Macaca fascicularis: one gene and its partners. The protein of the gene in region 1 interacts with the protein of each later gene in a pairwise test. Links are inferred from orthologs where the notes say so. Each region holds a gene or a part of one and is shown in the gene's direction. Other genes may lie near its edges. The genes, in order: UBE2E3, RNF167 and CNOT4.

Region 1 (10,327 bases):
AGGGCTGTGAGTGAGAGGCTGGCAGGACCCCACACCAACAAGAGAAAAGAAAAGAGACTGAGAAGAAACAATCTTTTGTGTGGTAGCTGGTGTCTGCTTGTGAAACTATTCTGAGGGACCTTATGGGAAAAGGGCGCTTTTTATTATATATTTTATGAAATAATTTCATTAGGTCAAATTTATATGCTCCCAAGAGTGCCCGTGAAACATGAACCCTAATTTCAAGGACTGACATAGCAAAAACAAGAGAGAGAGAGAAAATAATTACAAAACAGGTTGTCACATGAGGAAGAACTAAACATTAGAAGCAATTTGTACCTTACAAGTTACGTCTGGTGGAGGTGATGCCATGTCATCTGGGAGAGGAGCTGTGAGTTGAAATCATTTGAGCAACCCCTTGAGTCAGCTGAATGAAGGGAGCCAGGCACCTCACATTGGGGGGGCAGGGCACTACTGCCCCTAACCTCATGGAACCATTCATTATATTTATGGTGACTTTAACAATAGGTATTATTTGTTGAACACCCAAGTTCCAGGTATTTTGCCAAGAGTATTACCTATATTATCTACATTATCACTAGCCCTAGTGCTCTCTCCAGGACTAATCTAATGTTTCCTTCTTTGACGTTTACCTCACGCCCCACAACTCCAACCTGAATTAATAGTTCCATTATTAATTAATTGATGATTAAGAATGCTCTATTCTCATTCACTTCTTTAATATAGCACTTCTCATTCTGCAGGCTACTTTTCTGGCTGCCCCACTACACAATCGAGCTTGGTTAAGAGCATGACCCATGTTTCACTCCAGTTTCCCAAGCAGTTAGTAGATCCTGAATATTCTGTTGGGTGAAAGTTAAGTTAAACTCCATGACTTCAAACTCACCAAAAAATCATGGAATCATGGAATTTTTGAGAAGAGGGTTTAGAACCTTTGATACAATCTCCTTTTACATAAGAGTAATTGAAATAACTTAACTTGCCCAAGGTCATATGAACTTAGTAGAATGAGGATTAGAATACACTTACCTTGCTTTTCAACCCAATACTATTTCTGAAGACGTTACCAAACACAACTAAATATCTTTCTCCCCTAAGCTCCTCACCCCACTAAATCCTATCAGCAACTGGCCTTTGGGCCTTCAGGCTATTTCTGTGTTCTTAAATTTCCTAAAAGAACCCATGTTTAGCATACAGCTTTCCTTTTATATCTCCCCATTCCAAACAAAGCAAAGCTTGAACTCCAAATTGTCTGGCTTTTGCTGTAACATCACATCGTGTAAAGCTGGGGGAAAATTCTGCGTTTATTTTCACTAACAAGCTTTTCCCACAAGCACTCTTTGACCCAGCCAAATCAAAATGCTCGTCCACAGACCGACCATGCTCTTTTTTGAGGCATGAGTTATTCTATCTGTTCATTCTGAGTGGAATATCCTTACTGCTTATGAATCTAGTGAACTTTAATGAACTGTTCCCCTTCTGGATGAGGAGCTCTTAGCACAGAGTAGAGACCTGGCTTTAGTCACACAGCAACTGAATGAGTGTGTCCAGCACCTAGCAACATAGAGCCCTCAATAAAGTTAACTGAATGACTGTGTCTTTGGAAAATTACGTAAATGTAACTTATTCTTTAGAGTTGTTATCAAGCTTTTACCAAAAGTTTTCTATTAGGAGAAATAATAAGCAAATAGTTGGCTCACTCAGTCTTTTCGTCTTTCCCTTAACTCTGGTACATGTTTTGACTCTGCCATTCTCACTCCCTCTGTGAACTGCACATTCTCACAGCACCCCTGCCCCTGGACACTTGTGGGAGAGGAATCCACAAATTCCTTTGAGGCTCCATCACCGGAACAAGTTCTCAGTAGCTGGAGAAGGTCTGGGCGGCAAACAGGAAGTTTTTGTATTCTGGCTACTTTGTGCCGCGGGGTAAAAACCGCACAGTCCACCTGGAGACTGCAAAAAGAATGGTAGAACAAACAAAACTGTCACTATCTCCACCTAAAGCTTTTCTGGGTGGACATTCTGACCCACCATCACTCAGGACTTCTTTCCAGAACTGGCACCTCGTGCAAGGCAGAAGAGTCCCGCAGAAAAGTGTCATGTATTTAGCTCTCATCGCCACCCCACAACCCCAAACTCTTCTCCTTCACTTTTAAGAATGTTGAGCGGGACATTTTAAACACTGTTTTGGATTTTTAAGGTTTCAAAGCATCCGAAGGACGGTCTCTTTTGGCAGCGACAGTTGCAAGCTGTGAGCCAAAAATAAATAGAGGTTGGTCCCCTAATCAACAAATATATTCTACTCTCTTCAATGCCCAGGACCCCACCTTGTCCCTTCCTCCAGCTTACACGAGGGGCAAGTGGCAGCTCTTCTCCGCCTGCGTGCCTGGCCTCGCCAACAACACCCATTAGTCTCCCGTCTCCCGGGGCGGCGGGGGACTCCCAACCACGCGCCCAGGGCCCTTTCCCAGGTACTGGGGCCCCGGGAGCCACGACGTCCCCCACGCAGGCGGACGGGATGGAACTAGCCCTGGGGACGCGGGTAGCCCAATGGGCAGCCTCCGCCCGGAGGCGGGCCCAGGCCGGAAGCCACCCCGCGGCACAGCGGCCCCACGATACGGTGCCCGCGCCCCCGCCTTCTCTGGCACAGGCTCCGCGGCCAAGGGCGGCAGGGGCCAGCCCGCCAGGTCCCCGCCGCGCTCTTTGTCCTGGCCGCGCGCGGGCGGACGCGTGCACCCCCCGGGTGAGGGGAGGTGCGGGGAGCGCGCGCGGGAGCGCGCGGGAACAGCTCGCGCCCGCCGGGCGCCGGCGGCGCGCGCCCCTCCGCCAGGCAAGCAGCGAGCACGCGCGCCGCCGCCGCGCCCGCCCCTCCCCCCGCGTTCGCCTCGGAACTTGCTGACTGCGCGGCCGGGAGGAGCCGAGCCGGGCGGCGGCGGCGGGAGGCCACAGCGCGCGGGGGTCTCCCGCGTCCCCTCCGCCTCGCCGGGAGCTCGCGCCCTCGCCCAGCCGAGCTCCCACCCCCCCTTTTTTCCGAAGGCGCTGGGCGGCGCCACCCTCCGGCCGGAGCCCGGCACTGCACAACCCCCTCCGACTTTCAATGTTCCACACTCCCCGGCCAGAGCCTCCTCGGCTTCTTTTTTTCCCTCCCCCCCCTTCCCCCCCCCACAGCTGCCTCCATTTCCTTAAGGAAGGGTTTTTTTCTCTCTCCCTCCCCCACACCGTAGCGGCGCGCGAGCGGGCCGGGCGGGCGGCCGAGGTAAGGCGGAGGGGCCGGGGGGCCGCGTGGGGGGCGGCCGGGGCGGCGGCGGCTGCGGTGGGGGAGGGGGCGGGGGCGGGCAGCTTTGTTCGCGCCGGGCGCCCGCGCCGCCGGTGTCCGCGAGCCGCGGCGGGGCCGGCCGGGCTGCTCGCATCACTTGGCGCCCGGCGCGGCGAGCGCTGCCCGCGGCCCCCGCGCGGCCCTCCCCACAAAGGGCCGCGGAGCTGCGTGGCCGCCGCCGCCGGCCGCGACTCGCCTCCGCGGGCGCGGAAATTTGTTGCACTTCTTGGGGCTTTGTTTGTTTGTTTGTTTTTCCTCTGGGTTTCTTATTTTTTTCGTTATTTTGGACAAAATGTCGGTCCGTGATGTAAAAATTGAGCGAGGAACCTTGGTGGCATTGGGAGCTTTGCAGAAGGTGCAGTTTGAATTCTGCTTTTCCCAGGGTGGCAGCTAGGTCTTGGCCGGATGAATCTTCGCTGCTGGCGGTGGAAACAGCTAGAGGAGCTCGTTAGTTGATTTTTAAATTTCCAAGTGTTGTGTTTAAAGCCTTTACGTGCACTGAGAAGGAATCGCCACCTTAAATAAGCATATGGGCGATTAACAGGGTGTGTTTTCCTCTCGGAAAGGGAATTTGGTAGCTTTGACCAATGTCAGTGTGTAAATATTTAGACGTTATTAGTGACTTTTAAACATTTTTTCAGCGAGATCTGTTATTTACAGTATGTCATATGTTATTAATGCTTGTTGCCTAAGTTCCTTGGCAAATCTGTTTCATGCCTTCTGAGAAAGTAGACAATTGATAGATTGTCCAAGAGATGGAAAAAAATGTGAGTGGGTTTTCTAACTTGAGTTCGGCAAATCCCTGAACGCTGGCGTTGTGTGACACATCACCTCCCTTGTAACCCTTGTTGTATGATGAAATAAGTGTGAACACTTTTGAAGCTTTTTCATTACAATACGATATTAGATGAATAGAAGAAAATGCTGTTGGTTTATTTCCTAGATTTAACATTTTCTCCCCATCCTCCCCTGTTCTCTTTAAAAGTTTTCCAAGAGATAACTTCACCAAGATGTCCAGTGATAGGCAAAGGTCCGATGATGAGAGCCCCAGCACCAGCAGTGGCAGTTCAGATGCGGACCAGCGAGACCCAGCCGCTCCAGAGCCTGAAGAACAAGAGGAAAGAAAACCTTCTGCCGCCCAGCAGAAGAAAAACACCAAACTCTCTAGCAAAACCACTGCTAAGTTATCCACTAGTGCTAAAAGGTAATGTGTAAAAGAAGGATCCAGCACACTTTGTCAGGTTGTCTTCCAGGTGGTTGGACGCTTTTGTTGGTTTTACATCAGTAGCAATAGTTCAGAAATATTTACTTCATTATCAGTTTATTTGTACTTGAATGAGTTGTCATTCTTTAGGTGGTATGTATGCAACCTTGCTAGAATTATGCTTTTAAGCAAACTTATTCTGTACTTCGGTAACTTCAGTTGAGTATCCTTGAGTAGAGATTAGACTAACATTCTGACAGATTGTTTAAGGAGTTGGCAAGGAAAATTTGGTGAACCCAAATTAGATGGTACTTTGGGGATGTTTCCTTTTATGAGTCATAATCTTCTTTAATGAAATTGACACTTCCAGAGATTAGCAGGGCCTCTCTTCATGAAACTTAATGATCAGAAATGATCATATTTGCTAGAAAATTGCAAATTCAGGCCTTTGCTATGTTTGAAAGCAGATTTAAAATCGTGCTGCAAATCTGCTTACAGTTTTACAAAACATGACTTTAAATCATGTATCACAGGTAACTTTCGTGGTTAAATTATGATTATCCCTCCCTGTGCTTGTGAGGGCAAATCAAACTGAAAAGTAGCCCTTTACAATTTGAGGTGTCACTGGTGATAGAAAACTTTCATTGTCCTTGGACCTCTTCACTCTGAAACTTGTGGATGTGCTTGACAAGTTAATACTCAACAGCAGGAGAAACATATTTAATTGGATGTAAGTGGAAGATCATTTGTTTCCTATTGATTTATATTTTCTGATAGAGAAGAAAAGATTCTGTCAATGAGACTCTGTCAGTGGTAGTAGTAGTGGAACATCCACAAACTCTAGTAATTATACATAAAATGTATAATCTCTACAGCGTTAGCCAATGTTGACATTTTGTTAATTTTTATTGATCACAACTAAAGGAAAAAATATTTCTACAAATACTGCATTCTGTGGTGATTCATAAATACTCATATTTTTCTATGGATTTTCACCTTTATTGTCTCAGTAATGATGTATTAATAACTTGAGAATATTTTTGAATGGCAGCAGTCTTTGACATAATATAAAATCCTTCTCAATTTGGTATAGTGTTGATGCAGAACATATTAGACACGTCTAAAGTTTTGAAAGCATCTTAAATTTGAATCAAATCAGAGAACTGCTTTTCTCCCCCTTAACTCAGGCCTATGTATTTTCTCTTTCTGTCAATATTTACTAAATTTAAGTGCTGTGCCTATGATCAGGGAAAACAGAAATGGGTAAATTAGAATGTCATGTAGTCTTCGAAAGTTTTTCACCAGTAAAGATATTTGTAAATTTTAAACTTTTTTTTTGACAGATAAAATATTGTCAGAACTGTTAATGTGCTGTTGCAGTAGCCTGTTAATTTTTACCTCAGTAAAAGTCACTCGAAGTCCTTGTCAAATATTCCAGTGCTTTCCCTCCTCCCTTTTTGTCTCATTTGCATATAAGCTTGAAAAGAGAATTTCTTTGGTAAAAAGTGTTTTGAAATAGATATTATATTCTTTACTGAGTACTAGTGGATGAGTATTTCTCAAATCAAGTGTAAATGACTTACTTATTTGCAGCAGCAAGTGAGAAAAAAAGCTGCAAAGTTTCTGTTAAGGGATTTGGGTTATGCCTCTGAGAACAAAGAGGAAGCAGCCATGTTAGCATTACTGAAGGCAGAGCCAGCCTTGCATTTAACTGCATGATGGTAGAGGGCAGTGTAATTCCCTGGTTATTCTGTAGACTATCTCAAATCCTTTTTGTCTCTTCTCATTTCACTAACAGAATTCAGAAGGAGCTAGCTGAAATAACCCTTGATCCTCCTCCTAATTGCAGGTAAGAAATGAATTTTGTTGTTTCGGTTTCAAATTGTGGAAAAATATCAAGAGATTGATGTATTGTCTGGATATGTGTGCAGCAGAGGAGACAACGTTTGCTTCTTTACAGCTTTGCAAGTGCATTAAACAAAAATTGTAGAAGGTGAACTAGATAAAATTGGGAGAAAAATACTTTTTAGCATAAGTATACTTTGTGGATTTATGAATATACTGATTTTGTGCTTCTGAGATTCTTATGAATGGTGCTGATTTTTGTTCTGATGTATTTCTGTAGAGGGTGTTTATTCAGAAGTATACTGAAGAAACTTCTAAAATTTTGCTCAGCTTTAAAGTTACTGCTTGTGTGCAGTCTGTACTGACCTTCCCTATTTAGAAATTGCTGAATGTGGTGTTACAAAATGTAAATGCAGTAAACAAGCATATAGTTGGTTCTGTTTGATTTATTCAGTTACTAGCCTTAAGGATAAATTTTATGGGCTAAGCTAATGGTTTTAGTCCTCGTTTTCTACAGAATGCATTGTTGGAATTATTTACGTTTTAAGCCAATGTCCTGATGGCTTGAGGAAATTTTTAGTAATTTTGGTAGTTGGAATTTGTGTATGAAAAGCAGTAAATGAATTGGAATTGTGAGAATTCATTTCAGTGGAACTCAGGTAGATGAATTTAAGATTATTGGTTGGTATAAGATACATTAAAAGTATCTGGTTGAGTATTTTTTCTCCAATAATTTTTTTCATTTCATTTGTATAGCGCTCTATTCTTTTTTAAATGACTATATGGCTTACAAAATTGAACACACATAGAAAACAATATTGTAGATAATTTGTGAAGAGATATGTGCCCAATAATGCGAACGGCTGCAAGAAATAAGGCAGTTTTATGGTTTGATAGGAAAATGTTTTCGTGTTTAACCTGTATTTCTGTTACAAGTTGTATTCACTTGGGATGATAGACCCTATCTCTGAAGTCTACTTGTGATATATAATAGGGTATAATCCAATTGCTTCTTACTGTGTATGTTAACTGGATCCTCAGATAAGGTGATTTGATCCTGATTTATCCATTGAATGAACAGTTTGCTTGTATTTGTAATTTCAGTTCAAACAGGAAACATGAATGTAAACTAATTTTAAGGAGATAGTGGTATGTGAGATCTCAAAGTATTACTTAAGAGCTGTGCTGTCCAGTAACGTCACCACTTGCCACATGTGGCTGTTGACCTCTTCGGTTGTGGCTAGTCCAAAATGAGATGTGGTATAAGGGTAAAATTTATACACATTGGATTTTGAAAACTTTGTACAACAAAAGAGTGTATAATATTGCATTGACTTAAAAAATATGTTCATTGCATGTTAAAATAATATTTTGGATGTATCTGGCTATATAAAATGTTATTAAAATGAATTTCAATTTTTTACTATTTTAATATGGTTATTGGAATATTTAAAATTACATATGTGACTTGCATTATATTTCTATTGAACAGTGCTGCTTTAGAGAACAAGCAAATCAAAGTATTTTCCCTCCAGCCTTCTAAATGGTGTGTCAAATCTGTAGCCATTTAGGGAGGTCAAGTTAAATTTGCTCGCTGGAAGAATCACTTAACTTGCAGAGTGTGTTCTGATATTTCCCATTATGAAAAATGTAAAGATCTATCAATTCAGAACTCTTAAATGTTTTAAAATTGCATGTAAGGTCAAACATTTTTAAAGGTTTCTGTTGATTTTCTGCAAATGGAAGAAACTAATGTATATGCATAAATCTAGAAAGCCTAGTAGACATGTGTTGAGTGCCCTCAGAGCAATAGCCTGCTGTTGCAGTTACCAGAGAAATCTGCTTTACATGTTTAACTTGGGAATGTTTCCTCAAGGTCACTGAGGATTATTTTAGAGGGAGTAGAATCTTTCCACGAGATAGGTGGTTTCACTTGTCTTTCTCTTTATATACCAGATTTCATTTAAGTCCTTGAAATAATGCTTCCTCATTTAGTGATTAGACTAGTGAAACATCAAAACTTTGAGTTTTCTGTGAACAATAACATGGAACACCTCATCCCTGCTTTCCCTTGTCACAACCTGTGATGACTCTCACCTATTGCAAATGACATCTTTTAGTTCTCAAGTTCTTTTAATAGATGAGTTTATGTGTGGCTGTGGTATGTGAAAAACAGACATAAAATATGTCTTAGTAGGGAACCAGGATAAGTTGTTGCTTATTATTGGAGGCAGTGTTTTTCCCTATGCCTCACATGTAAAATATCCAGATACTTTGTTTGTCTTCAAATTCTTTTGGGTGGAAGAAGACCTACTTTTTGTCCTTGAGTGGGAATTGGAATACTGAGTATTCAGTAAAGGTGTTTTAGAATTTTGACAAGTAAGAAGCCTGAATTTGTATTATATTTTTGCCTTTGTGTCAGATCTGTGACAGACTGTGGTGTTATGTTCTTTTAATTCACAAGTGCGTAAATGAGAATTTTAGCTTTACGGTGATTGTACAGTTTAAATTTATTAATTTATGCTGTAATTAAAAATGGAATCTATATTCATAAATTCTAGAATATGTGAATTCATATTGCCTGAGATCTATGAAACCTAATACATTTGGCTTTCATGTGTAGTTATTTAATCAGAATTCCATTACAGTCTTGAATACGATTTTTACAAGTTTGTCAAAGTACGTGACAGCTTTAATTCTTCCTCGGGGAAGAAATGTAAAGTATATCTGTGTACATTCAGGAAAACGTTGAATGAAATACAAGAAAACTCAGCAAAACAAAAATTATTCAGACTGGGACGATTTCTTTAAAATCCCTTCCTATTTTTTAATTAATGAAATATTGTTTAATTAGTATATAGTTATGTCTAGTACATACACACCCAGGGTGATGTTAGTATTGTGTATGGCTTTATACATGTTTTAGTATATTTTGATAGCATTGATATTTCTTTTCCTGATAATGTAAAAGTTTGATAATGACGTTATTTCCAGTGATTTGATGTTATTTTAGGTTTTAGGTATTGGAGGGCCATGGACCATAGTGTACTAAACATAGGGATATATTATTTATTGGTTTCAATTTATGCTGTTTACATAGAGTATAAATAATTGATACATCAATGAGAGTCAAGGGAAATTGTGTTATGGGCATTTCCCTATTTGTATTTAGAGAGAATTATTGACTAGAATTGTTTAGTGATGTGTTATTAAGACATTTACTTTCCATCTGTTTCCCAGAGGGTGTCCTTGTCCTCTCCTAGTCACCACTTGTGCGAACAGCAAAAGTTTAGCAAGGTACTTGATTTCTAACTTAACCCTTAATTTCTTTCCATATAGGAAGAAGCACAAATATACACTCTTAAAATACTCATCAGTATGTTCAGAGTGAATCTATTCTGAAGATATTCGGGGGTATTTGTATTAATAAATAGTTTATTGATGTGGGAAAGGCCATATTGGGGGATATGTATTACAGTTTCAAGTTTATAGTATGAATACACTGACTAGCAAAACCTGAGATGAGGTAATTTCGTTGACTTTCTTCTTTAAAAATAAAAAAATAATGAAATCATAAAAGAAGCAGTTGTTTCTAAACCAGTAGTTGGTAATCTCTAGCTTCCTCATTAGTCTAATTGTCTGAGGATAATTTCTACTTTCTTATGAGGGTTGCTGCCACTTTCCATCATTTTCTAGGGTAGACTAGAACTTTGCTACTTAAAAGAGTGACCTGCCGACTGTCAGCATCTGCGTCACAGATGAGTTTGTTAGAAATGCAGACTCTTGCTTCCCCCAACCCCCAACCCAGAATTTGAATTTAACAAGATTCCTGGTGAATTGCATATGTAAGTAGGTTTGAAAAGTGCTGGTACTGGAGCAAGACTGTCTGGGTTGAGATCCATGCTCTGCCACTAACTTGCTGTGTTACCTTAGATACATTTTGGAATATTTCTGTTCTTCTC
Region 2 (10,332 bases), on another chromosome or scaffold:
TTGGACCCAGGAGTTTGACACCAGGCTTGGCAACATGGCAAAACCTGATCTCTACAAAAAATACAAAATGTCAGCCAGGTGTGGTGACGTGTGCCTGTGGTCCCAGGTACCTGGGTGGCTGAGGAGGGAGGATCACCTGAGCCTGGGAGACGGAGGCTGCAGTGAGCCCTGACTGTGCCACTGTACTCCCGCCTGGGTGACCCAGTGAGAGCCTGTCTCAAAACAACTTGGTTTCTTTCAGTGAAGAGTGGCTGGGGCACCTGTCATGAGAATTCACGAGGCTCCAACTGCCCCTACACTGGTCACAACTTATCCAATAGACCTTCAGTTATAGCCTGCACTTCCCCTGCCTGGGGTGCCTCCTTCTCTCCTCCAGGGCTGGCCACCCACCAGGCCACCCTAGGCATCAGATCCAGCTCAAAAATTGTCATCTTCCTGGAGTTTAACAACAACTGCTGACACCCACCTGGCAGCAGCCTGCAGTACTAGGGGCAAAGGTGGGTGCCTGCTTTGCACCTGCAGTCTCAGAAGTGCAGCTCTCACTGCCCAGGTCAGCAGGACAGCAAGGGGTGGGCCCTGCAGCATGCACCATTTGGTGAGTGTGACTGAATAGTCTTGGGTTTCCTGCTCTCAGGCTGGGACACAGGCAAACGGAACCCCATTTTTCTCATAAATCCTGCCATTCCCTAAACACACTGGTGTGGCTTCCTCTCCTGCCTTGTCTCCAGCCCAATCCAGGGCTTGGGGCCCAGAGAATGGGACCATGGAGACCCCCATCCCCCTCCAGATGGTCCCGGAAGATCTCCCAAACCTGAAAGTCTGACTGCATCTCTCCCCCGGTGGAGGACCAACTCCTGAGCTTGGCAGTCAGGGAGTGCCACGCACTGACCCCATCTGACAGTCCAGCTTCATCTCAAGGCAGATCACAGCCTGTGCTCCAACTATCACAAGCCTATAGATCACCTGCTCCCCGACAGTGTTTTACTCTAGGCCTTTGCCCTCAGTCCAGCCAGGTGTGCTGTCCTTGCCCCCTCCCCAGCCAGTATAACCACTCAGTGTGCAAGTCACTTCTCCCAGGTGAGGTCAGGTGCTTTCCAGGTTACCCTGCAACACTATTGCTACACTGTTTCCCAACTGCTCCTGTATAATCTTGCCTTCTGGACTGGAAACTCCTTAAGGACAAGGTTTAGGCTTCAAGTGTCTTACAATAGCCACTAAGGCCCAGGACAGAGTGTACACGGAGGCAGCAGCAGGGGTGCCACGATGCTGAGCTCCACCTCTTCTGCTGATGAGGCTCTGCCAAAGGGACAGCTCCCACCTGCTGCCTGCCTGTCCCCTAGCCTGGCCAGCACTCCTCAGTTTGACCTTCCCAAGTTCTTTTATGCCCCAAAGAGGTTTTAAGGCTCCTTGAGGGCTGGCCTGGGAACCACACATCTTCTAAAGAAATGGATAAGGTTCTCACTCTCCCCAGCCAAGGACGAAGATCAGGTCTCTGGCCAGCATCCCTCTTTCCTCAAGCTTCCAGTGCCCACCCACTTAAGCCCTGGCCCTCCACCCGCACTGCCTCCACCCCACAATGGTCTTCCTCTCTCAGAGTCTCTTTAACTCCTCCCTCTTTAGGCTGCAGAAGCAGTCATCAGACCGAGGGGCTTTTCCTGGGGATTATGTGAAATGATCTGTGCGTCTGTGGCATTCTTGGGCAAGTGGCTGGAGGAAACACGCTGGGCCTGGGATTTGAGTTTTTCTAGCCCTGTCAGCTGCTGTGGCATGACAGATTTACACAGCATTTGCATAAAACCAGCGGCTGCTTTTTCTTTAACAATTTTTCTTAAAAACTCCAGTTCCTATTCTCCAGGGGCACCAGCTTCTTTGTCCAGTCTCCTCCCCTCTCCTAGCCACCCCCCAGACTCTCCAGATTTGGGGCTGGTGTCATCAATCCGATTTATTAAGTCCTCAGTGAGGGGGAGGAAGGGCCACATCTCCCTCTGTAGGTCCTTTGACCATCTTGATGGCTTCTGCTCCTCCCTATCCCCTCAGTTCTGCCTTGGTTTCCCCAATGAGAAGGGGGATCTTCTGCTGTCCTGTGTGCCCTGAAACTAAAACCCAGGGGGAGGCCAGAAATCCTCAGGAAGTTTTCCAGCTCCCTGCAAGAATAGCCAGGGACAGAGAAATCACAGGATCAGGATGAGCAGGGCAAGCTGGAGCAGGGGGTAGAACAGACCAAGTCCTTTACCGCAGAGGAAGAAACCACACTGTGGAAGGGAAATAAATAGAGGGGTCCAGGGCAGCAGAGCCCAGGCCCCCAGGGCGCAGTGGCCATAGACGCAGCAGGCAAGTGGGAGCCCCCGGCCGCTTCAGCCACTGAGGAAGAGACGCCTGTAGGCCTTGTTCATCTGCTCCAAGAAGATGAAGGTGAGGACGGTGTGGGGACCCAGGCGGGCATAGTACGGTGTGAAGCCCTTCCACAGGCTGAAGAAGCCCTCGTAGCGGACAACCTTGAACAGGACATCCTAGACACAGACAAGCAGGGCGCTGGGGCTGGGACTCTAGGGCCCATCCCCCTTACCCAGCTGCCTTCACACCTTTCCCAGGGGATCTGACACCCCACCCAGGCTCCCAGAATGGCTTCCTCACCAGTCCGTTCTTGTATTCCGGCTTCCCATCAATCATCCGCATGTTCTGGATTCTGAAGGGGAGAAGGCAGGGGCATGAGAGACCGAAAGGACACCTTCCCACCCACCTCCAGGACCAGACTGCACACTCACCGGGTCTTGGCAATATCCACAGGCATGGAGGCAGCAGTGGTGACAAGACCGCTTATCATGCTGGCACAGAAGTGGCACAAGATGTTGTCAGAGAAGTAGCCTGGGGGAGGTGAGGCGGGGGTGGCAGTCAGCTCAGAGGTGGCTCAGGCCAGGCTGGGAGCTAAGGGCCCAGCTCTGGGTCTCACCTGAGTCCAGCAAGAACTGCTTGGATTGGGAGTAGGAGGCCAGCTGGGCAGCATTGACGACGACGGCCCGAGCCATGGTAGGGATGCAGCCCTGGAGGGAGGGGAGCGGGCAAGAGTCAGAAACCCCTAAAACCGGACTTCACAGCCCCCAAGTCTCCAGCCCCTCCACTCACCCGCCACAGGGTGAGGACTCCCTCTTCCCGGGTGATCCGAATCAGGGCATTAAACACATTTTTGTAGCCACGGCGCTGGTCAGCTGGAAGCCTGATAAGAAGGCAGGAAGAGGTCAAGATCAGGATAGCCCACAGGGCCCCACAGATGCAAAGAAAGGAAGGCCAGAACAGGTAAACGCTCTGCTCTAGATGTGGGATAGAAAAGGGGTCCTTTCATTCTAGATTCCAGGGAATGGGGCTGGGGTGAGGCTCAGACTTGGAACTCACCGGCCATCCGCAGTCATGCGGATAAGAGCCACTTCGGCTGGTGTTCCCACAAAGGCACCAGTGGCACCTGCCGTCATGCCAATCAGAGCCTTCAGCAGAAAGCCAGGGGGAGTACCATCAGCCCCAGTCAAGCGCTCAAACAACACGGTATAGATGCCAAGGCGGGTAGTGGTGTAGGTGGCCTGGCGCAGCAGGCCAGCCGACAGCCTGAGGAGCAGAGGGGTCAGCATATCAGGCCAAGGTCTGGAGCTACCAACCCACAGCCTACCCTCCATCCTGAGGCCCCAATACCCGGTGTAAATGCCCCTCAGGCCTTCTGCCTTCAGGATACTGGTGAGGGCATGGAAGCTGGTTTTGTACTCTCGAGTCTTGGCCCCTTCCCCACTCAGCTGCATCCGGTTCTTCACCAGGTCCAGGGGCTGGACAAAAACTGTAGCTCCCATCCTGGGGGAAGATAGAGGTGGAGTGAAGGGATTCACTATTCCAGATCTACCAGTGCCCACTGGAGCCTGGCAGCAAGAGGTTACAAAGGTCAGGGCCTGCCATGCGATTCAAGAATCAGGATGCTGGTGAGCATGTGTATAAGAGTCTATATGTACACCGAGTGCAACGGGTCTGAAAAGTCTAGTTGTCCAGTCGGGGCCATGCAATGCAAGTGCTCCAAGCAGCTTCATGACAGTCAAGCAGTGACCTGGGGCTGCACGCAGTCCGACACAGGGAGGGGACGAAGGGGCATCCAAGATTTAGGACTCCAGGTAGTCCTCCAGGAGCCATTTAATGGCCTGGAATCCCCTGTAGCCCGGCCAAGCTTAGCAATGCGCTGGGAAACTCAGGTGGCCCGGCGGGGATTGTGCAACGACCCCGCATGCAGTCCAGAAGGGGCCTTGCATGGGGCCCTAGCAGCCCATTGGGGAACTCGTAATACGCTGGAGATCACGCTGACCCCGTGCCGGCACAGTTCACTGCAACAGACCCAGAGATGAACCGGGCCCGGTTCCTTGCACCCGTCCCTTCCTCCTCTTTTCCCATCCCTGGGGCCTGAGCTTACCCGGCCAGGCCCCCAAACAGGAACTTGATGGACTTAGGGGAGGTACGGGGCTTCCCGTCCATCCCGCCGGCCCCGGCACTCGCCGTCGCCGCCATCGCCACTCAATGGCCCTCGGCTCCGGGTCCCGTGCGCGCGCGGCCCCGCTCGCGCCCAAGGTGACACCGCGCGCGCAACAGGGCGAGGGCGCGCGCACGCCCCTCCGGCTCTCAGGTCCGGCACCCGCTGGAAGCCGGCGCGGGCGCAGGCGCGCAGCGCAAAGGCGGCCGGGAGTAAGGCGGAGCTGAAGGAGGAGCTTGAGGGAAGCGTGCGAGAAGGGGTGTAACTGATTTAGGAAACCAGAGGAAAGGCGCAGTTTTCACCAAATTGGAATCGCGGGAAAATAGAGATGAGTTTGTCTCAAGGTCTCGCGAGATCGAGTGAGTACGGCTCACCAGAGTAGGAGAGCTCTCGCGATAGACACACCAAGCGTTCAGCAGCGAGGGGACGGGGGAGGTGGGGAGCACTCTCGCGAGATTTGAAGGAGCGGTGGCGGCGGCCAGCGGGAGGAGAGGTTTGTAAACTAGGTGGCTCCAGGTTTCCGGGCACCTTTATTAGGTCGTCTTCTGGGCCACCAGTGCTCCTTCCATCTCCACAGGCACTCCCTCCATCGCTGACCTTTCTTTAACCGGCCTTTTAGGACCGAAAGTTCTTCATCTCAAGCATCAAATGCTGAAAGCGGCCTGACTTTCTCTACCGGAAGCCCTTTTCCAGAGGCTGGGAACACGGCCCACCTGGCAGGAAGTCCCACCTCCTTGAGCTCCGCCACCCTTCCCGAAGTTTTTCTGTCACCTGTGTTAGGCTCCGTACCCTTTCCCCGTTTTATCCCCGTACCAGAAAAGGATACATTTAGTGCCTCTCACCCAGCTCCACTAAACGGGTTGGATATCTCATTCTTTGAGTCGGGGTTCCTTCCCCGGCGCCTCCATGTAGCTGGGAAGTGGGACCTGGGGGTGGTTGGACCCCTGGGATCCTAAAGGAGGGGCAGGGAGGGCGCAGAACTCCGCTTCTGCTCCTTGCTACCAGGACGAGCGGCCTCCTCAGCCTCTTTCCTCCCGCTGCCATGCACCCTGCAGCCTTCCCGCTTCCTGTGGTTGTGGCCGCTGTGCTGTGGGGAGCGGCCCCCATCCGGGGGCTCATTCGAGCGGTGAGTCCGAGGGACGGAGGAGGCAAGGGCGCTGAAGGGAAGGGTTGCAGGCTGAAGGGGAACATTGCCTTTTTTGTCCGCAGACCTCGGACCACAATGCCAGCATGGACTTTGCAGACCTCCCAGCTCTGTTTGGGGCTACCTTGAGCCAAGAGGGACTCCAGGTGATTTTCTTTCTTTTCTTTCTTCCTCTCCTTCCCCCCCTTTCCTTCCTTTTCTGTCTTTTTTCTTTTTTTAATATTTAGCAAGATCTTCCATCCTGGGCTGGGGTTGGGGAGGTTTGTCCTGGGTGAAACTGGAGGTAGGAAAATCAAGTTAGGAACTGAGCACGTATAGTGTAGAATCCAGAATCCAGAGGGAGAAGACAAAGTGTCCACCCCTGGAACTCCGAGGTTATCAGGGAGACTGAAAGTGGACAGAGACGGAAGGTAGGATCAACGGTCCTTATCAAGAGGGTCTCAGAAGCTATTGCTTGTATGACCTTGGGCAAGTTAATTTCTCTTTGAGCCTTAGTTTGTTTTACTGTAAAATGGGATATTTTAAGTTTTCCTAGGGTTATTGTGAAGATTAAATTAGATACGCAATTTTTGTAGTACTTCATCCCAAAGACTGCCACATAGCAAGAACTCAGTTGGGCCGTAGTAGCAGTGGAGTTGTTTGTGAGATGGGTAATTAGAAAATTGAAGAGGCCGGGCGCGGTGACTCACATCTGTAATCCCAGTTCAAGACCAGCCTGGCTAACATAGTGAAACCCTATCTCTACTAAAATTACAAACATTAGCTGTGCATGATGGTGCATGACTGTAGTCCCAACTACTTGGGAGACTGAGGCAGGAGAATCACCTGAACCCGGGAGGTGGAGGTTGCAGTGAGTCGAGATCGCACCACTGCACTCCAGCCTGGGTGGCAGAACGAGACTCCATCTCAAAAAAAGAAAAAGAAAATTGAAGGGAAGGGAGTGTGTTCTGTGTAAGTATTGGAGAGGAAACTGTGAAACAGAACTTGAGAGTCAGAACATTAGAAGGCAAAGTAATTGCATTAGCTTGCGGTTTAGGGTACAGATTAGCCCATCTGGGACAGCGAGAGGGATGATGGGAGAGTTTGGTGAAGGGATGTTTTATGTCATTACCTTTTCAAGAGGCTAAGAGAAAGTTGTGAGGTTGCGATGCTCAGACCCCAGGAAGGAGAAGGAAGTGAGGATAGAGGATGTGCAGCATGTGGGCTGGTGTGTTTGGTGGCCCTTGTAGGAGTGAAACCTAGGGAGGAGAAATCTCACTGTTGTTTGCTTCCATCCTTCAGGGGTTCCTTGTGGAGGCTCACCCAGACAATGCCTGCAGCCCCATTGCCCCACCACCCCCAGCCCCGGTCAATGGGTCAGTCTTTATTGCGCTGCTTCGAAGATTCGACTGCAACTTTGACCTCAAGGTTGCTGAATGTGGAGTGGGAGCTGGGCAGCTGAGGGTAAAAAAAGGCACCAGGAATGAAGACAAGTCAGGCCTATGATGGCTCCTTGTCCTCTGCCTTGTCTTCCTAGGTCCTAAATGCCCAGAAGGCTGGATATGGTGCCGCTGTAGTACACAATGTGAATTCCAATGAACTTCTGAACATGGTGTGGAACAGTGGTAAGGCTGGAGGAATCTATACAGCTGGGCTTTCAGTAGGACCCAGAGATGGTGGGAAGGCTGAAGGTTTCAGGAAAAGCCAATCCTTTAGGTGGGTTGGGGCGAAAGTGCCAGATGCCAGGGTTCCCAAAGGATTTGAGTAGAAGGTTGTGAGTCCCCAGAGTAACACCTTGATCCCTGCAGAGGAAATCCAGCAGCAGATCTGGATCCCATCTGTATTTATTGGGGAGAGAAGCTCCGAGTACCTGCGTGCCCTCTTTGTCTACGAAAAGGGGTAGGACATATGCCTCCTTCCCATTCTTCCTTCAGCAAGCAGTTCCATGCCAACCTGGAGCCCAGGCCTCATTACCCGAACCATTCAGCCTCCTGTCCTTCCTTCCCTGCCTCTTTGACTTTATTCCCATTCCCATCCCCACCTATGGGCTTTGTCCAGAGCCAGTTGCTTTGTCCCTCTGTTTTTCTCCCTTTGCCTTTCTTTCCCTGCTGAGACTGGTCATCCTTTCCCAGGGCTCGGGTGCTTCTGGTTCCAGACAATACCTTCCCCTTGGGCTATTACCTCATCCCTTTCACAGGGATTGTGGGACTGCTGGTTTTGGCCATGGGAGCAGTAATGGTGAGTAGCTGAGGGAACATGATGGGAAGCACTGAGGCCAGACTGGATCTGGAGTTGGGAGTGGCTTGTCCTAGATTGTCTAGTTTTATTCCTAAGCCTTGTCCATCCACCCCCTCTTCCACCAGATAGTTCGTTGTATCCAGCACCGGAAACGGCTCCAGCGGAATCGACTTACCAAAGAGCAACTGAAACAGATTCCTACACATGACTATCAGAAGGGTGAGGGGTTAGGGGAGGAGAGGGTTTTTCCCACCGTTTACCTGGTTCTGAAGGACTTTGAGCCCAGAAGATAGGGTATACAAAGATGGCAGTGGCTGGGCACAGTGGCTCACGTAATCCTAAGTGCCTGTAATCCCAGCACTTTGGAAGGCCGAGGTGGGTAGGTCGCTTGAGCCCAGGAGTTTGAGACCAGCCTGGGCAACATGATGAAACAAAAAAATCCCACCACTTTGGGAGGCTGAGGCAAGTGAATCCCTGGACCCCAGGAGTTCCAGGCCAGCCTGGGCAACGTGGTGAGACCCCATCTCTATAAAATATAACAAAAATTAGCTGAGCATGGTGGTGTGCGCTTGTAGTCCCAGCTACTTGGGAGACTGAGAAAGGAGAATCACTTGAACCAGGAAGGCGGAGGTTGTAGGGGGCTGAGATTGCACCACTGTGCTCCAGCCTGGGCAACAGAGGGAGTCCCTTTCTCAAAAAAATAAAAGTAATAAAGATGGCAGTAAGAAATTTTCAGCTTGAGATGCTGTCTTGTCTTGTTTTTACCCATAAATACAGTGAAGATGGGAGAGATGTAAAGCAAAGATGATTAAGTGAAATAATTGTGGGAAATAATAGAGGGACAGACTTTGCTTATGGGGGATGTGGAGAGCAGAAAAATGGGAGGAATGGGGGAGGATTCAGTTAGAGAAGGAAGAAAGTGGTACTGTGGGGCTGGGGCTTTAGGCCCTGGGGCCTCCAGTGCCCGTATAAGGCTATGGCAGAAGCTCTGCCCATTTCCGTCCCTTCCACTCCGTATCTCCACCCTCACACCTCCCCAAAAACCACTTCCCTTCTTACCTCTGCTTCTCTTTGCTTGTCCCTTTTAGCCCTAAATTCTTCCATGTTCTGCCCTGACCTTATCCTGCCTACCTGTCTTAGCTCTTCCACTGGCTTTGTAGGTGAGGGAAAATTTTCGCAAGGCTTTAAAAGCCTTAGCCCTGGGTCACGATGGCTCAGTGAAGGACTAGATTATTTTCTTTCTGTCCCAGGAGACCAGTATGATGTCTGTGCCATCTGCCTGGATGAATATGAAGATGGAGACAAGCTGCGGGTACTCCCCTGTGCTCATGGTGAGGCCCTCACTGCCTGCCCATGCCCCTCTGCCACTGGCAGCCACCAGGTGCTTCACCTTGTTCCTCTCTGCAGCCTACCACAGCCGCTGCGTGGACCCCTGGCTGACTCAGACCCGGAAGACCTGCCCCATTTGCAAGCAGCCTGTTCATCGTGGTCCTGGGGACGAAGAGCAAGAGGAAGAAGCTCAGGGGCAAGAGGAGGGTGAAGAAGGGGAGCCAAGGGACCACCCTGCTTCCGAAAGGACCCCACTTTTGGGTTCTAGCCCCACTCTTCCCACCTCATTTGGTTCCCTAGCCCCAGCTCCCCTTGTTTTTCCTGGGCCTTCAACAGATCCCCCACCCTCTCCTCCCTCTTCCCCCGTCATCCTGGTCTAATAACCCTCTACATGTACACTTCTGGTGACCTATTTGCACAGACCGTCTTCTTCCCTCCAGTCTTCTAAGTTGAGGGATAGGGGACATTCCATCCTAAGTTGCTCCCTTACCCACACCTATCCTTTTGAGGGGCATTGGGGTGGGGCTGGGGCAAGCAAAGGGACTGGGTCTTCACTTCTTGGGCTAATAAAATTGTTTTTTGTGGACTAAGGAAGGGTGAGATAATTTTTAGGTGAACTTAACCCTTTGGGGGAATCACCCCTTTAGCCATAAGGAGCAAGAGAATGCTGAGACACTAACCTATAGTCATGGGGACAGCCCCAGCAGGCATTTGCTATGACTCAGGGGGAGCCCCACCCACAAGGATGACTCAACTAGCCCTGCCTTGCCTGCAGGCCTGCACCCATTCTCTGGTCCAGATGGCTCTATTCCATTATCCACCAATTTAACCAGCACACTGAGGACTTAGGCCTGGAAATGCCACTGTGGAGGGGCAGGGCCACCTGGCCAGAAGCTCAAATTCTTGCACCTTGTAGTACCTCAACCTTCCTGCTCCCAAGCCATGATAAAGGAGGCAAGTCACAGTGCCTGTCCCCCATTCTGACACCCAAGCTCAAATCACACAGCACCTTGTTAGAATCTTTTTTATTCAGAAAAAAAAAAAAAAAACCCAAAAAACAAAAAAGTTTTCCAACCACACACAGGAGGGGTATGGGTAGGGGGAGTTGTCTGTCCATCCAGCCCTGGTCCCCAGCCCATGTGGTTTT
Region 3 (10,232 bases), on another chromosome or scaffold:
GCAAAGTAGCAGAATTTTAACTATAATTTCTTCTTTAATAAGAGGTTTTCTGAGGCAGGCAAACGAAGTATACTGATACTTCTTACACAGTAGAATATGAAAGTGTGGCACATGGCATCTTGAAAGTACTTTAAATTGTGTGCCTTTGAGTTCTGCACTGAAAAATAGAACTACTACCAACAACTTGACCCCCTTTCCTGCCCTCAGATTGTTTAGAACTGAAAATAGTGTTTTGTTGTACATACTTATATGCCATAAAGTAAAATTTTTTACATCAGAAAACATCTAAATATATTATCAATTCTTTAAGAATAAACACTCCTTCCCTGATGTATTATACTATTACTAATTACTTTAAAAATAAAATTAGTATTGTTTTTAATATAAAATGTTTGGTAACTTGATTTTTATTTTACTTTGCTTGCTCTTTTCACATCTTATGGTAAGTTTAAAGTACTTTCTGGTATCTTTCTAATGTTTTAGCAATGAGAAGGCTCATTATTAGATTGACTTCACAGTACCGCTGAGAATGATGGGCGCTATTCCTAAGTTCCTAAAAGGAGACTTGTACACAGGGCTAGTTCCTGGCAGTAAGAAATACTCTGCCTTAGCTTCTTGGAAAGTTTATATCCATTCAGTATTGACCACCAGTGGAGCATTTGTTGTTAGGCATTTAGCAAGTAATAAATGTGCTCCAAATTGCATTTCCTTCTCTTACTTTTATCCTTATGAGAGAGTAAGGCCGGTGTTATTTTTACTTATGAATTAGGAGTCCTGGGATATACATGGCTAAATTATATTGACAGCCAGTTGTAGAGATGCCTTATACAACCTATCTACAATGTTTTCTATATGAAACCTACTGACTTATACACGTTGAATTGTACTCCAGTGTGAAGTCCTGTATACATAAAAGAAAATGAACTTGCATCAAGTTGAGTCAGTGGTCAAAGTCCTGGTACTATTCAAAAGGAAAATGTGCAGTCAAGTTAGATCATTTAAGAGCCCTAGAAGCAAAGGAATCGACTTCGTTTGTGTCAGTGGTTCTGGTTCTCAACTGGATGCAATTTTGCTTCCCTAGAAGACATTTGCAATGTCTAAAGACAATTTTGGCTATCAAAACTGGGGAGCTGGTACCCCTAGCCTCTAGTGGGTAGAGGCCGGCAATGCTGCTTACCCTCCCACAGTGCTCAGGACAGCGCTCCACAACAGAGAATTATGTAGTTCAAACTGTCAGTAGTGATGAGGTTGATAAACCCTGCTGTGTGTGTTTCAAAGAATGGAATTGCCAGAAGCCCTTGCAGCCAAGACAAATTTGGGTCATTGGGAGGGAATGGGGAGTCAAGGACGTGACTTCAGGTACGGCTGGACTGAGATGAGCTATTTTGATGGGGTTAGGATTAAGCTGATTTCCTTTCTCTCACCTTTTCTTTGTGCCAACACTTGGCATAGCAATAGTGGAAAAAACAGTGAAATAAACTTCTTTTCTTCTAAGCTAGATGGAATATGGTCCTATTCCAAGAGCTAAAAGCATCATTCTACTTCCCTGTAACGCTTGCAGCTTTACTGTAAGCCACACACCCATGCTGTCAGGCTCCCAAAATGTCAAGGCACATGATGTTTTGGGGGGAGGAGGGGTGTAAAGATTGTTGCATTATAAACTAGCTAATTTATTTCCCAAGGTATCCTGTAATCATAGTGCACCTGGGATCTAAATTTCTCACTGTTTCTGCATCATGTGCCATATGTGAATTTCTTTGGCTAACATACTCTTGCTTGATTTGATTAGTCTACAATTACAGGAACAAATGTCCCTTAAAACAAACTTTTTTAAGAGTAGTTTTAGGTTCTCAGCAAAATGGAGTGGGAAGTACAGAGAGTTCTCATATAACCCCTCTGCCTTTATTGTCTTTTGACTTTATTACTGATTTTCAAATAAGATTTATGTAAATGCAAGTGTTATTCTGTTAATGCAAAATTAAATGTTCCTCAGTTTCATTGCTCACTAAATGGTAAAGCAAAAGTTAGGAGCAGATTGGTCTGACTTATGGGCTATTCTCTCTCTCCCTAGTCAGTAGAAGAGGGAGGATCATCATTTGCATGGACTTCTTAGGGACGTTAGCCACTCGGTGTAAGAGCATTTATCCTCCTGAACATTTTCCCATGTAGTTATACATCATCTTTCTATTTCTGGGGGATTTTATTTTTCTTCCAGGAAGTTTTCCCTGTTTTGTTTTTGCCTAATTGGAAGCTATTTTAAGTTATTCAGCCTGACAGTTTGACTGCTTTAAAAGTTAGAATGTTCCATAGCCGTAAACCTTCCTGTAATTGAGAGTGTTCTAGGACTTAAATTTGTGATCTTGTTTGTGTCTCATGTAGTTAGGGAGCCAGGGGGAAACTAACGATTGTATTCTTGATTAGAATTTTTTTCTCCTGGCCACAAAGTCCAGTTTCTTCCTTGAGTCACAATATCTCTCTTCAAATCATGACCAGTGGGCATACTATAATGCTTCTGTGTTTCTCTCTTGCCTCCTTTCAATCGTGGATCTTCCCCTGGACTTTCCCTTTAATATTTGACCCTTTAAAAAATTAATAGTCTGTACAGAGTAGATCAAGAGAGAGTAAGCTTGCTTGCTTTTTTTTTTTTTTTTTGTCAGGGTTAAGGTTCAGGTTCTCAATAACAAGTTTTGTGAACTTGGGCAAATTATTCCTGAGTCTGTTTCTTTATCTAGTAAATGCAGATTGTTTATCCTCCTCTGCCTACCTCTCAGGGCTGTTGTGAAGATCAAATGAAATAATTGACTGTTAGAGTGTCTTGTAAACCATACAATCAATACAAATGTAAAATAATATGCAAATATAAGAAATGTGAGGTTTAGTAAATTACATCAATTATGAAATGAAAGTGGCTTGGAGAATGTATTTTCCCTTCTGATGTCTTGTTTTGTGTAGCCTAGAGAGCTTTTTCTTCATCTTAGTAAGTTCAGAGATGACCTTTGTTCAGTTTAGTTGTAGTTTTTTGTCTTTTTCTAAATAAGGTCAATGGAGTTAAATGCTTCACTTGTTGAAACATGATATAATTTGGCATAGATCAGTGGTTGGTGGAAAGCAAAATTACAAAAAGAAAATCCTGATTTTGCTAAGCAGTGTAGATCGTGCCTGATAGAACCTCCTCCTCCTCCATCTCTTCCTCCTCCTCAGCGTTGATTGCTAATCAGTTCTGTAGAATCAGAAATATTTTTCTATGCTTTTTTCCAAAACTCGTTTGTAATTTGATTTACATTCCTATTTTCAATAAAACAGCTATCTAAGTATTTGTTAAATAAAACAATTATCTAAGTAGTTGTTATACTTCACCCTTTTCCCCCCAACCAGTTAGTTATACTATGTGGATTCTGGATGGTAGTAGATCAAGTTAGTTTAGTCACAATTTATAAAAAGCCTTTTTTATGTTGCTAGTGTCTTCTCATGTTTGATGCGATTCATAAATAGACCCAGAAAACTGTAGGGCTCCAGGATTCCGGCTGTGAATGATCGGTCAAACTGTTGGAGTAGGGCAGGCAGACTGTGTTGGACATTCCATCTAAAAGGTGTCAGCTCCTGCCTCCTTGGCCTTAGTGACTAAATGGAAATACATTCTTTTCAAATTCAAAAGCCTGTTCATTACTGCTTTTCTCTTCTGAAACACATTGCCAGTTTTATAATCAAGAAGGACTTAATTATTTTTCTTTTTCTATTGCTTATGTTTATTCTTCATAAAATGACTTTTCTTCCATTTGATGGGCTGAGAAATAAGCTCCTATATTGGACTTTGCAGACTTGGCTTTTTTATAGCGTAAATCAGCTCAGCTGGCTAAATGCCTCACTAACTGAAACTTCATAATGTAGCTGGAACTAAATTGTGCTCTGGAGCATTGAGTCTTTAAACTGGATTATTGATTTACAAACCCATAATGGTGAAGAGGCTGTAGAGAGACAAGAAGCTCCCTCTCCTGATCCTTGAGCAGGTTTTTCCTCACTTACTTCAGGGGCTCTCAGCTCACGAGCAAAATCCTAATGAAGTTTATCCTGCTAGGACAACCCATTTTAAATGCTCAATAAAGAAAGAATAATTCTTCTCCCGCTTAACCACTAAAGAACAACATATGTTTCTAACGTAGCTTTTTATTTTTTTTTTTTTATCTTTCATTTTTTTGTTGGTAAATCTCCCAGACAACAGCAGTTCTGTAGAGAGTTTAAATATGAAGGAATGGCAGGACGGGCTAAGGGCACTTCTACCCAACATTAACATCAACTTTGGTGGACTGCCCAATTCTTCTTCCCCCTCCAACGCCAACCACAGTGCACCAACCTCCAACACTGCCACCACCGACAGCCTGAGTTGGGACAGCCCTGGCAGCTGGACAGACCCAGCCATCATCACAGGTAACTTTCTCACTCCCTTCAGCTCCACTGACTGCCAACAGTTTGGTTTTTAGCACAGATAAAATAAAAACCAAGATCTCTTCAACATAAGCTTCTTTTCACAAAGCTGCAAGTGTGGAGTGGCTTGTTTCGTTCTCAGGGGTCATGCAAGTCTCATTTAACCTGTCGGCCTAGTTGTGTATTAATAAGAAGGCATTTGGTGCCTAGGTTGCTTCTTCTGGTTTAAGTAGGTGTTAACGTCTAGCAACATGTGTATTTTGTAGGCCTCAAAGTACAAAAGGATCTGACTTACTCTTCTTATAAGGAACATACTCCACTTTTTGTTATAAAGCTCTCTATTATAAGGCTGTCTTGTTACGCATCCCTGTCAGAGGAAGAAAAGCACAATTGGGAAATGCCGTCATGCAGTTCTGGGGAATGGTATTTTGCAGCTGTGCCTCTGTGACAGTGGGGGACTAAGTCTAGTTCAAGAGGAGGCATGGGTTTGTGTGACAATAAGTCTTGGTTGTTGGGGGAGGATCAAAGGAACAGAAGGTTTAAAAGGTCTCATGTGGAAGGAGTTTAAAATTGTAATCTCTTCTGTGTTTCCTTTTGGTTTTGTTTTCTAAATTTGTTTGATGACCTGTTCTTTCCACACAAACTCACCATTTTCCCTCTTTTTTCTTTTCTTTCCTTAGGTATTCCAGCATCTTCAGGAAACAGTTTAGACTCTCTTCAAGATGACAATCCTCCACACTGGCTAAAATCCCTTCAGGCCCTCACAGAGATGGACGGCCCCAGCGCTGCTCCATCACAGACCCACCACAGCGCCCCCTTCAGCACACAGATCCCGCTGCACAGAGCCAGTTGGAATCCCTACCCTCCTCCTTCAAACCCTTCCAGCTTCCACTCCCCACCCCCAGGCTTTCAGACGGCCTTCAGACCCCCCAGCAAAACCCCCACAGATTTACTACAGAGTTCAACACTGGACCGCCATTAGGCAAAGAGGAGCAACCATTAGAAAATGCAGGATTTGTCCCACTCTGTTTTCTCCCTCTCAGCCCACCACCCACAGCTCCCTTCTCATCTCTTATGTTCTGAAGAATCCAGTACCTGATCAATTTTTTTTCTCCCTACCCCCAGATGCAATGCGATCACAGGGTCATTACCATCTCTTTATTAATTGTAAAAGTTTTTGTTGATCCAGCATTTGAGTGACACTGTTGAATGTTTCTAAAAATGCCTTTTTAAGGAGAGAAAAAAAAATCAAAGGGCAGTCTCAATACTTAGAAAATTATTGTTTGTCTGTTGCGCATAATAATGACATAATCTGCTTAGCAGAAAATGGCGATTAATCTATAGGAAAGGTCAAGTAAATGCATTATCAACTGCAGAAGTTTGAAAACCAGGTTCATTTACGTGAGATTGCTAAATGCATGGGGGAAAACAGTGGTCCTAGCATCCATCTTGTATTCAGCTTATCATTATTGCAGGGAAAATGCTTTTAATTTAAATTAATTTTTAATTATTTTGGCAAGTTGATGGCAAGGACTTGATTGTGTCGTTAAGCAAAAGAATGTATTGGAAGTTGATGGAAAGACAAATTCATCTGTAGTAGTAACTGGCTGATTGCTAAAGAGTTTATAAGGAGGTGAGAAGTAATTTTTTTAAAGGAGAAAATTTTTTTGGCTTTAGATTTAAAGTAAATTGAAATGTTTTAAAGAAAAAAAGTATTCACAGATTTAATACCTATTAATAATATAAGAGCTGAAATGTAAGTGATTTCTTCAGTCCTTCTCCTCTGTCGGAATCTTTTTTCTTTTACCGTAAATTCACCTGACGAGGGCACTCTGAGATAGCACTGCTCTGGGGCCATCTGATCACCATCAGGAGCAAACCTCTGACCTCCTTGCCTGCAGCTTTTACTTAACCCTGTAGTTTCTGGACGTTTGTGCAGTATTGAAAAGACAGGAGAAAAGAAAACAAAAACCTGGTTATAACCTGACGCTAAAACTAAAAACAAGGAAATGTACCTCTTTCTTCAGAATTAAAACTAAAATCTTAAATAAAACAGAAAACTTGATGATGACACTTGGGTTGTTCTTGTTTTTGTTTTTCCATTTTGTTGCATGTGAGTTTGAAAGATTTTGTGACAAGTAGCCATCAGATGTTTCCATTTGATTTTACATCTTCAACAATAGGGAGGGAGGATGGCTTAGAAGAAGAAAGTGGAGGATAAACAACGATTTTATTGTCAGTCAGTGTCATCCTTGAAGTTCAGCCCATCTTGTCCTCAAGAACCCTCTTCCAGTGGCTTTTAGTAGAAGATTCCTCTTTCTGCTATTGTATTATGCAGGCCAAGCCTTCCCAACTGAGAAGCCTCATGTGCCAGTAATGGAGAGGTTATTGACATGCTGAGACGTTGATTCTCTTTAGGGAGACCTGGCGGGAGCAGCAGCCACTATGTCACACAAGTGGCACCACTTTGTGAGTGCCATGATGGGAAAGAGATCGGGAAACTCTGATGTAGATGATCCGCAGACACATCTTTTATGACTGACCATTTTAGGAAGTACCTGATGAAGGGGCGATGATCACACCACTGACCAAAAGAGGGTAGGGGATAAAAGTTACCTGTTCCCCAACAAGACACCAGGATCTGTGTGGTTTGTATGTCTTGTCTTGGGCTGCATTCAGAAGCCCAAAGCAGGAACTGGCATATTTTCAGCCATGTCCATTAAGGGAAGCTGTCGGATCAACTAGATAGATAGAGATTATACGTTCTGTGTTTTCAGCTCGGTTTTTTTCATCCTTACCTGTACGCTGTACTTTAATTTGTTAAAAAAAAAGTTTCAACACAAGTTTTAGAAACTTAAACGTGGTATTCTCAAATAAATGTCACCACAAATAGATGGTGACCAAGTGGTTAGTAAATTGTTTTGTAAAATTAACAAAATTTCCCTGGGTAAGTGGAGAGGACTAGAAATGACAGGCTCTCTTTGCCCTTGAACTTTGCTTCAGTCTCCTGAACCTTCACATTGTACTGCCAAATGATGGACCAATGCACAAATAATGTTCAGATGCCAGTAAATTGTAATCAAGGCTCTTTGCGGGGTGGGGAGGGAGTCCTGAGATGGGCATATCAATAAAAATGTTGCTTTTTCTGTAAAAGAAGGGAACTTCCACCTTATAAGGCTGTGCTGTAATTGTGTGTATGTTTAATCGGTCATACAGAAGAGTTTATAGAAAGCATGACTTTACAAAAAGTATGAAGAATAAAAATAATAATGATCTGTGTGCCTACCACCGAGGTTAAAAATAGAGGCCGGGTGCGGTGGCTCACGCCTGTAATCTCAGCACTTTGGGAGGCCGAGGCAGGCGGATCACCTTAGGTCAGGAGTTCAAGACCAGCCTTAACATGGTGAAACCCCGTTTCTACTAGAAAAAAAAAAAAAAAAAATTAGCCCGGCATGGTGGCTCGCACCTGTAATTCCAGCTACTCTGGAGGGTGCGGCAGGAGAATCACTTGAACCCGAGAGGCAGAGGTTGCAGTGAGCCGAGATCGTGCCATTGCACTCCAGCTTGGGCAACAAGAGCATGACTCTGTCTCAAAAAAAAAAAAAAAAAAAAAAAAAAAGAACCTCAGTATCTTAAAAGCCCGCTATTTGCCCTCTCCAATTAGACCATTTTCTTTCCTCCTCATCTACAAATTTTATTTTAATTTCTGTGTTAATCTTCAAGAGTTTTGTCAGCTGTGTATCTATCCTTGAATAATATATTGTTCAGTTTTAAAAAGCTGAGTAATAAACCCAAGCCTAGCTGTGGAAGGAAAGGGCAATGTTGTCACTATTAGATTAAGGCTTTTAGGAGAAGATAAACTAAACAGCTTCTGGGGCATAGCTTGGCTTTAGCGTCTCTGATCATTTATGAAATCCTCTTCTGAGAAGTGCAGTGGCCAAGGTTATGCGTGAGTCCTGGAAAACAGGGCTTGCCAGTTGGGGTAGGTCTTGTCATGTAAGCACAGTCCCAGTTGCCTGGCAGAAATATGGTCTGCAGGATCAGTCTGCTGTCCGTTTCCTGTGTCAAAGCTCACCATGGCTTTTCACCAGTCCTCTGGAGTAGATCACAGATGCTTCGTGAATTAAGTGTCTTAACCCTTTGGGGTGAGGGGTGGGGTTTAAAACAAGTGTCAGCTGATTAATTCATCAGGGCTTGGCAGGGAGAACAGAAAGTTCATTAGGCTTGGTCAAAATCAGAAAGTACAGAAGGCAGCCTGAACCAAACTGACTTAGGCAGCCTGTTGGTATAATAGCAGTGGGAATCTTGGTACTGACAGCTTTCATGGATCACAATACTCAGATCTGGTACACAGCAGTCATTTCTAATATTTCCCTTTGTTCTCTCTCCTTTCTTGGACCTTCTTCCTATATTACTAAATCCCATACCCTAGTTTTTTTTTTTTTTCCTAAATCTTATTTTGCTGGCGTGACACCCTCCAGTATTTCTTAAGGAAAGGTACGTGGGAGATAAATATTTTAGTAATTAGCTTGTCTGAAATAATATTTAATTCTACTTCTCAGTTGATAGTTTGGTAGATACAGGATTCTATATAATTTCCTGCAGAAATTTGAAAGCTTATTACCTTCTTGCTACCAGTTTTGTTGTTGAACAATCCAAAGACGCTCTTATCCTCTAATCTTTCTCCCTCTCTGGAAGCTTGTAGCTAGTTTGTCTTCCGTGTTCTGGGACTCCACAGTGATCTGCCTTGGTGTGGGTCTATTTTATTTATTTATTTATTTATTTATTTATTTATTTATTTATTGAGACGGAGTCTCGCTCTGTCGCCCAGGCTGGAGTGCAGTGGTGCAATCTTGGTTCACTGCAATATCTGCCTCTCAGGTTCAAGTAATTCTCCTGCCTCAGCCTCCCAAATAGCTGGGATTACAGGTGCCCACCACCACGCCTGGCTAATTTTTGTATTTTTAGTAGAGATGGGGTTTCACCATGTTGGCCAGGCTGGTCTCAAATTCCTGACCTCAGGTGATCTGCCTGCCTCAGCCTCCCAAAGTGCTGGGATTACAGGCGTGAGCCACCACACCCAGCCAGGTGTGGGTCTATTTTAATTCATTTTGCTGGACACAGTGGATATACAGTATGTTTTTAAAATCTTATGACTCATTTTCTTCAGTTCTCGGAGATTTTCTTGACTTATTAGTGAATTTCTTGCACTTTCTTTTTCTGTTCTCCCTTTCCAAAAGTTCCATTGTTTAAATACTAGACTTTCTGGACTTCCGCTTTTTAAAATATTTTCTCCAATTTTCTATCTGTATCTTCACTTTGGCTGTTCTTTCTAGGAAGTTTTCTTTCAACTTTATAGTTTTCTTCTCCTTGTGCTGTTTCTCCAAGTTGCTTTAATCTGTTTGCTTTGATTTCTATCTTCCTTATTGGAGATTTCTACACTTGATCTTAGCCAAAAGGCCAAGAAGTGATTATATTAGAGACTCTTTAGACGCTTGGTAATCCTTGGTTATCTGCTCATGAATGAGATGGACAATTGATGGGGAGTTTTGAAAACATGAGTAGGGCTTGCCAACTTTGAATTCCCCTATTGGAAGATCTGGGTGGTCTCTTCTAATGGGTAACCTCTGTTGTCATTGTCTTTAGCACCTGTCGTCTCTTGGCCTTGGCTGGTCAGATTCCATGGAGAAGAGTCTTCCAATGGCTGGCCTGGCTGGTAAGGGTCTGACTGCCAGGGCTTCAGAGCTGTGTTGGGTCTCTTTATGTATTTAATATTATACTACATATAATCTCCCCGATGCAGTCTTTAC

Evidence for each region.
Region 2: the proteins of UBE2E3 (region 1) and RNF167 interact in a two-hybrid assay, tested with the Homo sapiens proteins (2 studies listed by BioGRID and IntAct). The link is inferred for Macaca fascicularis from reciprocal best matches to the Homo sapiens genes UBE2E3 and RNF167.
Region 3: the proteins of UBE2E3 (region 1) and CNOT4 interact in a two-hybrid assay, tested with the Homo sapiens proteins (3 studies listed by BioGRID and IntAct). The link is inferred for Macaca fascicularis from reciprocal best matches to the Homo sapiens genes UBE2E3 and CNOT4.

What each region holds. Positions count from the first base shown.
Region 1 is NC_088386.1:76,484,851-76,495,177, forward strand, and holds the start of UBE2E3 (ubiquitin-conjugating enzyme E2 E3), read left to right. Parts: upstream 1-3,763; intron 3,764-4,101; coding exon of another isoform or gene 4,102-4,144; intron 4,145-4,301; 5' UTR 4,302-4,326; coding exon 4,327-4,520; intron 4,521-6,318; coding exon 6,319-6,369; intron 6,370-9,605; coding exon of another isoform or gene 9,606-9,756; exon of another isoform or gene 9,757-10,327. Other genes in the region: uncharacterized protein, read right to left, coding at 2,176-3,581, 4,102-4,144. UniProt on the Homo sapiens protein: Accepts ubiquitin from the E1 complex and catalyzes its covalent attachment to other proteins. In vitro catalyzes 'Lys-11'- and 'Lys-48'-, as well as 'Lys-63'-linked polyubiquitination.
Region 2 is NC_088390.1:5,054,110-5,064,441, forward strand, and holds RNF167 (E3 ubiquitin-protein ligase RNF167), read left to right. Parts: upstream 1-5,425; 5' UTR 5,426-5,537; coding exon 5,538-5,621; intron 5,622-5,704; coding exon 5,705-5,785; intron 5,786-6,920; coding exon 6,921-7,046; intron 7,047-7,155; coding exon 7,156-7,243; intron 7,244-7,426; coding exon 7,427-7,517; intron 7,518-7,750; coding exon 7,751-7,856; intron 7,857-7,981; coding exon 7,982-8,075; intron 8,076-8,944; coding exon 8,945-9,016; intron 9,017-9,106; coding exon 9,107-9,187; intron 9,188-9,263; coding exon 9,264-9,565; 3' UTR 9,566-9,775; downstream 9,776-10,332. Other genes in the region: SLC25A11 (mitochondrial 2-oxoglutarate/malate carrier protein), read right to left, coding at 2,355-2,510, 2,635-2,686, 2,766-2,865, 2,951-3,041, 3,124-3,214, 3,391-3,597, 3,682-3,834, 4,439-4,533.
Region 3 is NC_088377.1:177,037,016-177,047,247, reverse strand, and holds the end of CNOT4 (CCR4-NOT transcription complex subunit 4), read left to right. Parts: intron 1-4,212; coding exon 4,213-4,425; intron 4,426-5,102; coding exon 5,103-5,404; 3' UTR 5,405-6,495; downstream 6,496-10,232. UniProt on the Homo sapiens protein: Has E3 ubiquitin ligase activity, promoting ubiquitination and degradation of target proteins. Involved in activation of the JAK/STAT pathway. Catalyzes ubiquitination of methylated RBM15.